2 linked regions of the Caenorhabditis elegans genome follow. The protein of the gene in region 1 interacts with the protein of each later gene in a pairwise test. Each region holds a gene or a part of one and is shown in the gene's direction. Other genes may lie near its edges.

Evidence for each region.
Region 2: the proteins of Y75D11A.3 (region 1) and nlp-27 interact in a two-hybrid assay, tested with the Caenorhabditis elegans proteins (one large-scale study listed by BioGRID).

The regions. Positions count from the first base shown.
Region 1 is NC_003284.9:1,740,791-1,748,243, reverse strand, and holds Y75D11A.3 (DEK_C domain-containing protein), read left to right. Parts: upstream 1-2,026; 5' UTR 2,027-2,042; coding exon 2,043-2,290; intron 2,291-2,423; coding exon 2,424-2,718; 3' UTR 2,719-2,728; intron 2,729-2,778; 3' UTR 2,779-3,148; downstream 3,149-7,453. Other genes in the region: Y75D11A.2 (DEK_C domain-containing protein), read right to left, coding at 4,721-5,015, 5,149-5,396.
Region 2 is NC_003283.11:3,986,281-3,992,757, forward strand, and holds nlp-27 (Neuropeptide-Like Protein), read left to right. Parts: upstream 1-3,097; 5' UTR 3,098-3,137; coding exon 3,138-3,222; intron 3,223-3,299; coding exon 3,300-3,433; 3' UTR 3,434-3,490; downstream 3,491-6,477. Other genes in the region: nlp-28 (QWGYGGY-amide), read left to right, coding at 1,654-1,744, 1,827-1,933; K09D9.9 (Usp domain-containing protein), read right to left, coding at 6,375-6,477.

The DNA.
Region 1 (7,453 bases):
GATTAAAATTAGAATTTGAATTATCGTCGATGAAATGAAATTCCTCATTGTCAGTTTTTTGTCAAATTCTTATGTAGATCTTGCAAAATCAAGAAAAACAGATTATATTAATAAATATTTCAAACACCAAACCGGGAACAAAATCGTGTTCACTATTCTGAACGTCATGGGTTCGTTTCCCAGTAGTGTGATTTTTTCAAAAATGTTTTATGCCAGACACATATACAATATGAGCCTAGTAAGTGACTTCAAAGGGGTCCACCAGGGATGGCCAAAAATTGTGTCTCTTTGCCCATTTGTTACAATACCGAAACTATTAATTTGATCTATGTAGATATCTATTTTCAATAATTTCTCAGAACTTTTATTCCAAAAAAAAATCTATATCCTGAGACAATTTTCTAACATTACTGATTTGACAATGATTGTTCACTGCCGTCAAATGAAAGATCATAGATTTGTAGATTATAGACCATAGACACAACGAAAAGATTCAAGAATTTTAGCCCGAAACTTATTTGGACCCCTAACAGAAATTCAAGCAATAACTGTAGTCTTTTCACAAGCCGAAAGATTGTTGAGTTCTTAATAATTGAAATTGAATCATTCTAACAATAATTCAATTGAGCACTCAATAAAAAAACTACCGTAGTTTTTCCATGTAATTTTTAATTTTTTTAATAATAAATCATTCACTTTTTAATGCTGCACCGTACATTCTTACACACGATAATCATTTTTTTTCTCAATATTTATCATATGCAAATGGAGTTCAGGGATGAAATTGCAAGATGGTATAGCAGTGCCCCCATTTTCTTTTCATTTTTCCCATGAGTCAGCGTAAACGATCACTGAAAAAGTTCCAATTTTCCTCATTTTTGTGTTTTTGTTTCTCTGCAGAAAATCTGGCATTCATTTTGTTTTAGCTTTGTGATCTAGTATTTGATTTTTGTAATTTTGAAATTACAAATGAATCTGTAAAATTCAATTTAAAATTTGGAGTGCATTGCATCAGTTTTTCGCTTTTTAATATGCTTTCTCAATAAAATTGAATAAATATTTTCGTTTCTCCTACTTTTAAGTATTAAAAAAAAATATTGCAAACTGGTAATTTCATCTTCAAAGCGAAACAATTTTACCCTCACATCACATCTGGCCATATTTTTTTTTCTGAAACAAAAATTGGCAAATATGGCATTGGTACTAGCGGTTACACTGATACCAGCTGTACATTTGAAAAAAATCAACCTTCTTCATAGTACTGGCACCTGTCATTTAATTTATTCCTGAACTTCATTCGTCAGAATTCAAACACAGTATTTTTTGAATAAAAAAGTGCAAAATTTTTTCCTATTTAATTTTGATCTACCGCCGCGCAATTGTTGTCGCCTCGCAGTTCTGTGCGCTGCCGCAAGCGTTCATCTAACCACCTGCGTCTCTCGTTTACAACTGTGTTTTGATTATTTCATTTTTGGTCCGCTCACTCTCATTTATCTTTTTTTTATCGTCCGGTAACGTGACAGTTTTTCTTATCTGCTGAAATTACACTAGTTTTCGAGTGATTCACCTTTTACTTTAGTATTTTTCTGTTTTTATTTCTTAGAAACTGCCTATGCTCATAATTTTCTGCCGTCATAAATTGTCGATTTCTGCACGCCGAGCCCGCAATTTTTTCTAAATTTTAAGCGTAATTTTCCCAGCCAATTGAATCCTTCTCATCACTTTGCTTTCTAAAAAACAACCCAAATGCGCCAAGATTTTATTATCCTTTTTGTCTGGCTAGGTACTTTACTTTTAGAGCTTAGAAATATCTATAGAAAGCCCATTTTGTGAAAATTAATATTTCCATGGGCCGCCTGACATTATGTCCTTTTTGATGATACCGTTTAATTCGATTTGTGATCTTTTGCTCATGCTGCCCAGAGATGGTATTTTTTAAGAAAATTTGAAATAATTGATTTTTTTTCTCTCAAATTTTCAAACATTGTACTGTACGTATTTTTTTTGTTCTCAAACCATTTTTCTTCCAGGTTACAGTCAGTATGCTCTCATCACAAGAAGAGTTCTTCGTCCAATTCAGCATCAGCTGCTGGATGCCTTCCTTCAACCTGATGGTGGCTGCTGAGAAGGGACGAGTGTTGCAGCGGGATCCGATGTTCAAGACCGTCCCAAGATTGCTCTTCAAGGAGCTCCGCCAGCTTCCGGCTAATGACGACATTTCCGATGGTGAATTGAAGAAGAAAATCGCGGATGCCATCGACCTCTACCTGCCAGAGACCGTCGAGCTTTTGTGAGTTTGAGTTGCTATTGGATTTAGTGAAAAAGTATTAGCTGGCAAAGTATTGATTTTCTTTAACAGTTATGGGCCCAAAGTAAAACTGCCAAGTTCTTCATTTATTCCAATTATTAACTTGCTATTTCAGGCGAATCACATTCCACGAGGACGTGACGAGAATCATCCAGAACCAAGCGGCAATGGCAAGAAGGGAGAAGGAGCTCAATACTCCCAAGCTCGTCAAGCCTCAGGACATGCTCAAACGTGTCAAGCCTGCCGAGAAGAAGGAGAAGATCAAGCGTGGGAAGTCAGCTATCAAGAAGCAAAGCCCTGTAGTTGAGATGCGTGTTTTCAAGGAGAGGAAACGTGCTCAACCATGTGCTTCGGACAATGAGAGTTTGTCGATTGCTGAGCGCGTCAAGCGCATTCGTTTGGACAATTAGGGTGTGACAGGTGGGAAAAATCGATATATTTGTTTTGTAATTAAAACTTGAATATTGCAGAGCTCTACACACTTCTTCCATCGACACCTTCCCTCGGCACGCCTGCACATTCAATTGAATCAACTCATTCAAAGTACTGTTTATCCTGATTTTACCCCCTTTTTTTTCTGGTACCACTTTGCCTTAATTTTTTTTTCTCTCCACATTTTTTTTTGCCATTCCCCAAACATTTCTTGTTGAATATTACCGGTTCTCCTCCAACTCCCCAAGTGCTCATATATTTACCCATTTTCCAGTCAATCATTACCGATGATTTTTTTATTGTACATATGCATTTAGATGAAGAAATTTGAATAGCTCATGGAAAAAAATCAAATTCTTGGTAGATCTTGCAATTCTCCTTTTTGTCTGTACTGTCACACTTGAATCAGGAAAATCAGATTATATTAATAAAAATTTTTTCGGGGCTGTTTAAAATGGAATGAAATCGATCCATGAAGTTCCAATTAAATTAAAATGCACTAGACAAACCTGGCATTGGCTCGAACTTGTAGAATGTTGGTCTTTTTTTTTGGAACATAGAATAATTTTTCAGCAATATCAGGATTTGGAGGTGCGATAGCATCATGAGCGATGGATACATGATGATCTTTAGTATATTTGATGCTGCAAGCTCATCGAAAACTTTGTAAAAATCATCAAGACTATGAGCAATGGCACCGAGTAAAAACCAAAAAAATATTGACCTCTGGCGGGATCGAACCCCGGTCTTCTGTGCAGAGCAGAACTTTACCAAAACACCAAATGTTCATAAATTCTTGCTTTTAGGATAATAATCTAAAAAACAAAAAACACCCGAAGGAACCCTAGAAGAAACCCGGAAGGATTCGAACCGACGTCTCTGGCTTTGAACTTGAAGCCGGGATTTAAAGTCCGACTCACAAGACCAGTGTGTTAACCACTACACCACAGGCCCATAGTAACCTGGCGGCCAATTAGCAATTAAGTATTGAAAGGAAAAAGCTCATCAGGAGTGGCGCATAGTGCGTCTGCGCAGAAACGCTGTCTCAGCATTTTGCCAGAGCTTTCTCACGCACTTTTACAGAAAGATCTGAACTATGCATGAACTCTGAAGAAGTGCGACGAAGTCAAAAAAAAAAAAGGAGACACCACCTGTAGATTCAACGTTTCTGATGAGTTTTCAGTATATTTGCGTAGTCATACTATGCTCTGAAAGTCTGTGGTAGGGCTTCCTTGTAGGCGACAAAACGCCTGCCTGTCTCGCGCCTTCAAATGCGCCTTCTATTAAAATAGAAGTGAAAATCATCTCAAGCTCCCACTTCAACTTGAATGGAAAGTTTTACCGAAAAAAAAGTAAGCCATATATCCTTTTTCATATTTTAACAATAACAAGCACGTGCTTCGTATACTGTTCGAGGAATTTCGCCGCCGACCGGGTCACGACTCATGACAATCTTCCCGATAGTGCATTGAAGATGAAAATTGCGAATGCCGTCGACTATGAAAATCAGTGAAATTGTCTTTTCTTTCATGAGCTATTCAAATTTCTTCATCTAACTAAATACAATAAAAAATCATCGGTAATGATTGACTGGAAAATGCGTAAATATATGAGCACTTGGGGAGTTGGAGAAGAACCGGTAATATTCAACAGGAAATGCTTGGGGAATGGCAAAAAAAATATGTGGAGAGAAAAAATAATTAAGGCAAAGTGGTACCAGAAAATCGGGTTGGTGAAGGGAAAACTGTTGGGATAAGGACGTATTTCGATAGGAACACTATTCAGCAAGTGTATCGAGAAAATCAATAAAAGCCAGGGTGAGGGGGTGAAATTAGGATAAACAGTACTTTGAATGAGTTGATTCAATTAAATGTGCAGGCGTGTCGAGGGAAAGTGTCGATGGAAGAAGTACATGAAGCTCTGCAATATTCAAGTTTTAATTACAAAACAAATATATCGATTTTTCCCACCTGTCACATCCTAGTCGTCCAAACAAATGCGCTTGACGCGCTGAGCAATCGACAAACTCTCATTGTCCGAAGCACATGGCTGAGCACGTTTCCTCTCCTTGAAAACACGCATCTCAACTACAGGGCTTTGCTTCTTGATAGCTGACTTCCCACGCTTGATCTTCTCCTTCTTCTCGGCAGGCTTGACACGTTTGAGCATGTCCTGAGGCTTGACGAGCTTGGGAGTATTGAGCTCCTTCTCCCTTCTTGCCATTGCCGCTTGGTTCTTGATGATTCTCATCACGTCCTCGTGGAATGTGATTCGCCTGACATAGCTAGTTAATAATTGGAATAAATGAAGGACTTGGCAGTTTTACTTTGGGCCCATAACTGTTAAAGAAAATCAATACTTTGCCAGCTAATACTTTTTCACTAAATCCAATAGCAACTCAAACTCACAAAAGCTCGACGGTCTCTGGCAGGTAGAGGTCGATGGCATCCGCGACTTTCTTCTTCAATTCACCATCGGAAATGTCGTCATTAGCCGGAAGCTGGCGGAGCTCCTTGAAGAGCAATCTTGGGACGGTCTTGAACATCGGATCCCGCTGCAACACTCGTCCCTTCTCAGCAGCCACCATCAGGTTGAAGGAAGGCATCCAGCAGCTGATGCTGAATTGGACGAAGAACTCTTCTTGTGATGAGAGCATACTGACTGTAACCTGGAAGAAAAATGGTTTGAGAACAAAAAAAATACGTACAGTACAATGTTTGAAAATTTGAGAGAAAAAAAATCAATTATTTCAAATTTTCTTAAAAAATACCATCTCTGGGCAGCATGAGCAAAAGATCACAAATCGAATTAAACGGTATCATCAAAAAGGACATAATGTCAGGCGGCCCATGGAAATATTAATTTTCACAAAATGGGCTTTCTATAGATATTTCTAAGCTCTAAAAGTAAAGTACCTAGCCAGACAAAAAGGATAATAAAATCTTGGCGCATTTGGGTTGTTTTTTAGAAAGCAAAGTGATGAGAAGGATTCAATTGGCTGGGAAAATTACGCTTAAAATTTAGAAAAAATTGCGGGCTCGGCGTGCAGAAATCGACAATTTATGACGGCAGAAAATTATGAGCATAGGCAGTTTCTAAGAAATAAAAACAGAAAAATACTAAAGTAAAAGGTGAATCACTCGAAAACTAGTGTAATTTCAGCAGATAAGAAAAACTGTCACGTTACCGGACGATAAAAAAAAGATAAATGAGAGTGAGCGGACCAAAAATGGAATAATCAAAACACAGTTGTAAACGAGAGAAACAAAATGAATGCCAGATTTTCTGCAGAGAAACAAAAACACAAAAATGAGGAAAATTGGAACTTTTTCAGTGATCGTTTACGCTGACTCATGGGAAAAATGAAAAGAAAATGGGGGCACTGCTATACCATCTTGCAATTTCATCCCTGAACTCCATTTGCATATGATAAATATTGAGAAAAAAAATGATTATCGTGTGTAAGAATGTACGGTGCAGCATTAAAAAGTGAATGATTTATTATTAAAAAAATTAAAAATTACATGGAAAAACTACGGTAGTTTTTTTATTGAGTGCTCAATTGAATTATTGTTAGAATGATTCAATTTCAATTATTAAGAACTCAACAATCTTTCGGCTTGTGAAAAGACTACAGTTATTGCTTGAATTTCTGTTAGGGGTCCAAATAAGTTTCGGGCTAAAATTCTTGAATCTTTTCGTTGTGTCTATGGTCTATAATCTACAAATCTATGATCTTTCATTTGACGGCAGTGAACAATCATTGTCAAATCAGTAATGTTAGAAAATTGTCTCAGGATATAGATTTTTTTTTGGAATAAAAGTTCTGAGAAATTATTGAAAATAGATATCTACATAGATCAAATTAATAGTTTCGGTATTGTAACAAATGGGCAAAGAGACACAATTTTTGGCCATCCCTGGTGGACCCCTTTGAAGTCACTTACTAGGCTCATATTGTATATGTGTCTGGCATAAAACATTTTTGAAAAAATCACACTACTGGGAAACGAACCCATGACGTTCAGAATAGTGAACACGATTTTGTTCCCGGTTTGGTGTTTGAAATATTTATTAATATAATCTGTTTTTCTTGATTTTGCAAGATCTACATAAGAATTTGACAAAAAACTGACAATGAGGAATTTCATTTCATCGACGATAATTCAAATTCTAATTTTAATCCATTTGCAATGTTAAAAAATGCTTTTATTTCAAATTTTTTTTTGGAACATATTTGTTGATAAAAAAAGAGAATAAATCAAAAATTTAAAAAAAAAGGATAAAATTAAGAATAAAATCGAAGGATGTCAATATGCAGAAGTTGGATGTAGAGTTGGAGATCTAGAAACGTCGTCTTCTTGCATTCATGCTGAAAATTTTACATTTTATCACATTTAATATAAAATAATCGGTCTAAACTTACATTCTTTCATATTCAACTTCAACGTCATACAGTATTATGCTGTCCATCGCCGCATACTCGATCTGAGCTCGATGACCCCCCCAATTTGACATCGTCTCACTTTTGTCAAAATCACACACATGCGATCTGTCTACAGGGTTTTATATCTGTTTCCACAAATGTCTTTAATGGTTCTGATATTGGCGTTTTATCAATTTCAGAGACGTTCAATAATCAATATACCGTATTTTCTCTATTAGTCTTGCAGCCTCTATTAGTCTTGTACCCCTAGAGGTCAATCGAAAATT
Region 2 (6,477 bases), on another chromosome or scaffold:
AAGGCAAAGCGAGGCCGCAAGTAGTTTTCTCAAGCTAACATGCGACAATTAGTCTGGCATTTGATTTATCCATGGATTTCCACGGATTTGATGTTCATATAAGATTATTTTCAATTTTTGTTATAATTTAGTAATTTTTTGTCGAAAATGTATTCTCAATCATTATCTCTGCGCCTCCAAACGCTCGTTTCCAGAGTTAAATCAAGCCTTCTAAAAATCACTGCAGTTACTCCTTTTTCCATTTGGTTAATATGAATGAATGTTCTCGCCAACTAATAACATAGAAATAACTAGACAGAGAAGAACATTTTGATAAAGTTTGGTGTTGCGAAACCGATTGGGAGCCGAGATATGGCCTCTGAAGCAAATAAGAACGTTCCAGGACAATCCCAGGCATTCCACGTGTTTTCAAGTGTTATATTTATTTTTTAAATGTAAAACTGAAACCGTCTGATCATTTTGGTGTGAAGTTATTCACAAAATAAATTCATGAATTACAAAGAAACCCCCGATTTTACCGAAAATTGTCAAAAATCAGAGGGGGTGCTATAGAAGTTGGACGGCCATTTTTCCGATATTTTGACCTAATTTCCGTGATTTTTGAGATATCATGATAAAAATTGGGGAGCATAGGTTTTTCAACATTTGCTATCGAACTGCACTAACACTTTTCCTGAAAATATTTTGAAAAGCTCCAAACCGCCAAATTAGAGGGGGGTGCTATAGAAGTTGGACGCACTGTATAAATATTGGTTTTCTTGATTTTTGATAAATTTTCATGCAATTTGCTACAAAGAAAACTTGGTCACCCGGATGAAATTTGCTGAATCTATTTTTAAAGTTGGCCTAAAATCAATTATTTGTAAATTGTTTTTTTTTTGCATAAAATGTCAGAAAATTTGCCGCGCACACCAAAAATTAGACAAGGAAAGTTTGACCGAAATTATTGACTTTTTTTCCAAAAATTCTGGAAAGGTACCATAAAATTGAGCTATTTTTAATTTATGCAGGCAGACCACACGGACTTTATTAAAAATCCAAAGTGTGCTACGAATTCAGTAATTTTGGTGCTCCAAAAAATACCAAAAGCTATCACATTTTCCGAGTCCGAGCAACACGGCAAATTTGCCGAATTTGCCGTGTTTTGAAAATATTGGAAAAAGAGATTTTCTTGAGTTGGCACAACACGGTAAACTTTGAAATTTGCCGCTCACCCCTGTTCGGTATATTGAGTCATTTTGGGCAAAAACCCCACAAACGCTACTCCACTCTCAAATATGTTTGAAAATTGACTGAGATGTTGGTTTAATTTTGAAGCTGCCTAAAAAGTTAAAATCCACTATTATAAAAGTACAAAATGCTTAAAATCTTTCATATTATGTAACAAAAATCATATTTCGTATCAAACACAAATACCACGTTCCAATATTTTATAACGGCTAACGTTACCACTGTCCAATTTGAACTGATCTATAACTGATCTAGAATCAAACTTTATTTGACGTATAACAGTGATGTTCAAGTAAAAATACCGAGTCTTGTGATCTTGATCAACGAAAAAAACTAATTGAAGATAGACGACGGCACCTATAAAAGAGGCGAAAAACGTGGTAAACATCAGAAAATCATTTTCGTGACTTTTAAAATACAAAAATGATTTCAACTTCTTCAATTCTGATTCTCGTCTTCCTTCTCGCTTGCTTCATGGCTACCAGTGCTCAGTGGGGATATGGAGGATATGGAAGTAAGTTTTTGTGCTTTTTTGATTAAAAAAAAACTTACCTCAATATAAAATTAAATCATTCACACATATTTTTCATTTTCAGGAGGTTATGGTGGATATGGTGGATACGGACGTGGAATGTATGGAGGCTATGGACGCGGAATGTATGGTGGATATGGCCGTGGAATGTACGGAGGATGGGGAAAGTAGACAAATTAGCCTACTAACTATATTCATTCTAAATCTCGTCGATTCCAGCAGTATTCTGATGGTTTGTATACTTATTCCCATATAAAATTTTTGAAATTCAAAAAGTATTATCCACATTGTAACTATTGAGTGAGTGAAACTCAAACAACTCGTTCAAAATTAGTAGAATGTAAAGCCTGCAAGACTAGAACTTCAGTGTGCACGGAAATTTTTTTTTAAGTTTCAGTACTTGACCAGTGCATGATCGTATTGTTTGAGTTACTACCAATACCTTGTAATCCGTTTAAACAATTATATTTGGTATTTTGGATATACTTCTTAAAAACAGCAAGTGGACGATTTGTGATTTCTGTAACTTCGAAACAAAATCTTATCAACTCAACATTTTTGCAAAGTGGTGTTTTACAACATTATTGACATGGTTTGCAAAGTATATTTTGAAAACTTATATGAAAGAATTGAGAAAATTTTGTAACTTCTAACAGGCAATTTCTCAAAAAGTTGAGTTAAAGTTGGATGTTGTGCTAAAATTAAAAGTTGATTTATAATGAAAAAAAATTATTTCAGAAGATCAGATATTTTTTCTGTATTTCTATATAAATTCTCAAAAACCTGGTTTTTCTTATAGTTAAAATTAAAGAGAAATAATCAAATTTTCTGCAAATAAATTTATTTTCTATTTAATAATTTGAGGAGTTGCTCAAAAATTTACTCTAGCTTCATTGCTCCCATTTTGACTGACTTTGAGACCGTTTTTGAAAAACTTCTCGAAACTCTTAATGTAAAGTAAATTTATTATCAAAATTTATAATTGTTTCTCTATATTTTCATAGAACTTTCCTCAAAAAAAACTACGACGCTACTTTTTCACAGTAACTTTTTATACAAATGTATTTGGCAACAAAAAAACATTTCTGATTTGTCATTTTCCATGGATCATCTTGACAAACATCAAAACACTTGAGAAAAATTGCGTATTTTGCCCGATAGGCCATTACCAATTTGACCAAGTGACCAATTCAAAGTGATTCACCAAGTCAGTTCGCCGCGTGCAGGAGGTGGAGATGTGGTAGAAAAAAAAAAGATGATCTTATCAGTTAGTTGTTTGACGAAAAAGGAACCCAAAATGAACAGTATAAAAGATGCCAGGTAACCAGGTAGAATACAGAAAACTTATTTACAAGTTTTTCAAAGAAATATCATTATGATTTCCACTTCTTCACTTCTTATCCTTGTCGTCCTTCTCGCCTGCTTCATGGCTGCCAGCGCCCAGTGGGGATACGGTGGAAGTGAGTTACTTTAAAAGTTTAAATCCTAAATTTTCGATCATTTCTGTTTAACATATCAATATATTGTAACTTTTCAGTGCCATATGGTGGATACGGTGGAATGGGAGGCTACGGAATGGGAGGATACGGAATGGGATACAGACGGCGCATGTGGGGAAGCCCATACGGTGGATATGGAGGATACGGTGGATACGGTGGATGGGGAAAGTAAATTCGATATTTTAAATAATCTTCTGACTTTGTAAATAATAATGAATTTTCGATCTTTATTTGTTATCTTACTCGCAAACTTTGAAACATGTATCTAAAGAAACGAAGAAGACAGAGAATTTCAGGTCAAAGTACAGTGCTGGCCAAAAAGATATCCACTTTTGGTTTTTTGTGTGTAACTTTTTTCTCAAGCATCCATTTGACTTGAATTTTTCCGTGTGCATAAAGCGAAATGTTACGCAAATTTGCGGACCAAACATTACATGATTATCGATTTTTTCTGAATTTTATTTCAATTTTTTGATTTTTTCGTTTTTCCAATTTTCATTATTTTTTTTGAATTATCAATAAAACGCACTCTGTTTGTTGCACTGGATTTGTTTGGTTGATAAATTATTTTTAAGGTATGGTAAAATCTGTTGGGTGTAAAAATCTTTCCTTGGACGTCAAGAAAGCCATTGTAGCTGGCTTCGAACAAGGAATACCCACGAAAATGCTCGCGCTGCAAATTCAACGTTCTCCGTCGACTATTTGGAAAGTAATCAAGAAGTACCAAACTGAGGTGAGTTCGAAAAATATTATTTTTTAATAATAAATGTTTAGAAATCCGTCGCTTTGAGAATCTCGCCCGGCAGGCCTCGAGTGACAACCCATAGGATGGATCGCAACATCCTCCGATCAGCAAGAGAAGATCCGCATAGGACCGCCACGGATATTCAAATGATTATAAGTTCTCCAAATGAACCTGTACCAAGTAAACGAACTGTTCGTCGACGTTTACAGCAAGCAGGACTACACGGACGAAAGCCAGTCAAGAAACCGTTCATCAGTAAGAAAAATCGCATGGCTCGAGTTGCGTGGGCAAAAGCGCATCTTCGTTGGGGACGTCAGGAATGGGCTAAACACATCTGGTCTGACGAAAGCAAGTTCAATTTGTTCGGGAGTGATGGAAATTCCTGGGTACGTCGTCCTGTTGGCTCTAGGTACTCTCCAAAGTATCAATGCCCAACCGTTAAGCATGGAGGTGGGAGCGTCATGGTGTGGGGGTGCTTCACCAGCACTTCCATGGGCCCACTAAGGAGAATCCAAAGCATTATGGATCGTTTTCAATACGAAAACATCTTGGAAACTACAATGCGACCCTGGGCACTTCAAAATGTGGGCCGTGGCTTCGTGTTTCAGCAGGATAACGATCCTAAGCATACTTCTCTTCATGTGCGTTCCTGGTTTCAACGTCGTCGTGTGCATTTGCTCGATTGGCCAAGTCAGTCTCCGGACTTGAATCCAATAGAGCATTTGTGGGAAGAGTTGGAAAGACGTCTTGGAGGTATTCGGGCTTCAAATGCAGATGCCAAATTCAACCAGTTGGAAAACGCTTGGAAAGCTATCCCCATGTCAGTTATTCACAAGCTGATCGACTCGATGCCACGTCGTTGTCAAGCTGTTATTGATGCAAACGGATACGCGACAAAGTATTAAGCATGATTATGTTGTTTTTAAATCCAATTGCTCATATTCCGGTACTTTAATTGTCATTTCCTTGCAACCTCGGTTTTTTCAATATTTCTAGTTTTTCGATTTTTTTGAATTCTTCTGAAGTTTTTTCAAAATCTGTTGAACATTTTTGATGAATATTGTGTTTTTAGATTTTGTGAACACTGTGGTGAAGTTTCAAAACAAAATAACCACTTAGAAAAAAGTTACACACAAAAAACCAAAAGTGGATATCTTTTTGGCCAGCACTGTATCTATTTTTCATAGTTTGTTGCGAACCCAGATTGTGATCCAATTGGTTATATGACCTACTAGAAGATTATTAGAAAATTGTTACTGTTAAAACTTGTAAGGCGCCAGGCGCGGTTCCAAGGCCTGACGCCTGCCTGCAACCGGATCCTCACAGCATTTTCACAACATTCCAAAATTAGGTGTTTTGACAATAAACTGACAAAATCTTATTATATTATTGAGCTCCAACATTCGATTGTTTTGTGTGTTTTTTTTTTGAAATTAATTTTTTCAAATATTTCCAATCAAAATGAACCGGACAAACTGGGCATTAAAAGATTCGTGTATTTTTTGAGATTTGAAAAATTTCGACATTTTCAGTATTTCTATTGTTCACCTGTATTACATATTTATTGTTCTTAAATACTGTATTTCCTCAAGAAAATTTTTTCGGGGTTTTTGATGTTTGAAACAGGGGTAGGCGACCAACGGTTTTTTCCAGCAAATGGGCAAATCGGTAAATTGCGGAAATTGAAAAATTCCGGCAAATCGGAATTCCGATTTGCCCAAGATTTCGAAAAAACAGCAATTGCCGAAAAAATAGCCGGCAAATTGTGGTTTTGCACTTTTTTCTTGGAAATTTCAGAATTTAAATTTTAAAAATTATACGTATCCTATAAATGATCCTACATCTGTTTTGAAAAGCACACAAATTCTATGAAAATATCTAGAAAAAACGAAAAACAAATTTCAAAAAGGCACAGTTTCCGTATTATAAAAAAATCCCTCTAAAACTGCCGGCAAATTGATTTCCGGCAAACGGCTAATCGGCAATTTTTTTAGAAAACTACACAGCTTTTACTCATAAAACTTTCCCGATTCAATTTTTAATTCATTTGTCCTGATTTCAAGAAAATAACAATATAACTTCCAGGCACGTCATTTCCATCAAGTTCTAGTCATCAACAATATGTCCTGCCAATTTATGGGCATCATTAAAAAGACATATAAGTCTACATATATCACATGCCCTATGTTTACTTTTTCATTTTTTTTCCGTATTTTCTGATCATAAATCGTGGAAATAGCAAACCAGTTTATTTGCCTTACCCCCTTTTTTTCAAATTCCAACTTCTCATCATTTCCGTCATCTGCCCAAATTTTCTGTCTTGGACACGGAAACTAAAGGGTCAGTGTAAAGCGTTTCATTCAAAAATTTAGAAATACGAAAGATACCGAAAGTATCGTTCTCTGCAATACTTTTGATCCATATTTTCGAAAAATAAGTTCAAATGCATATCTGTTCGGTCTTTACTTGCT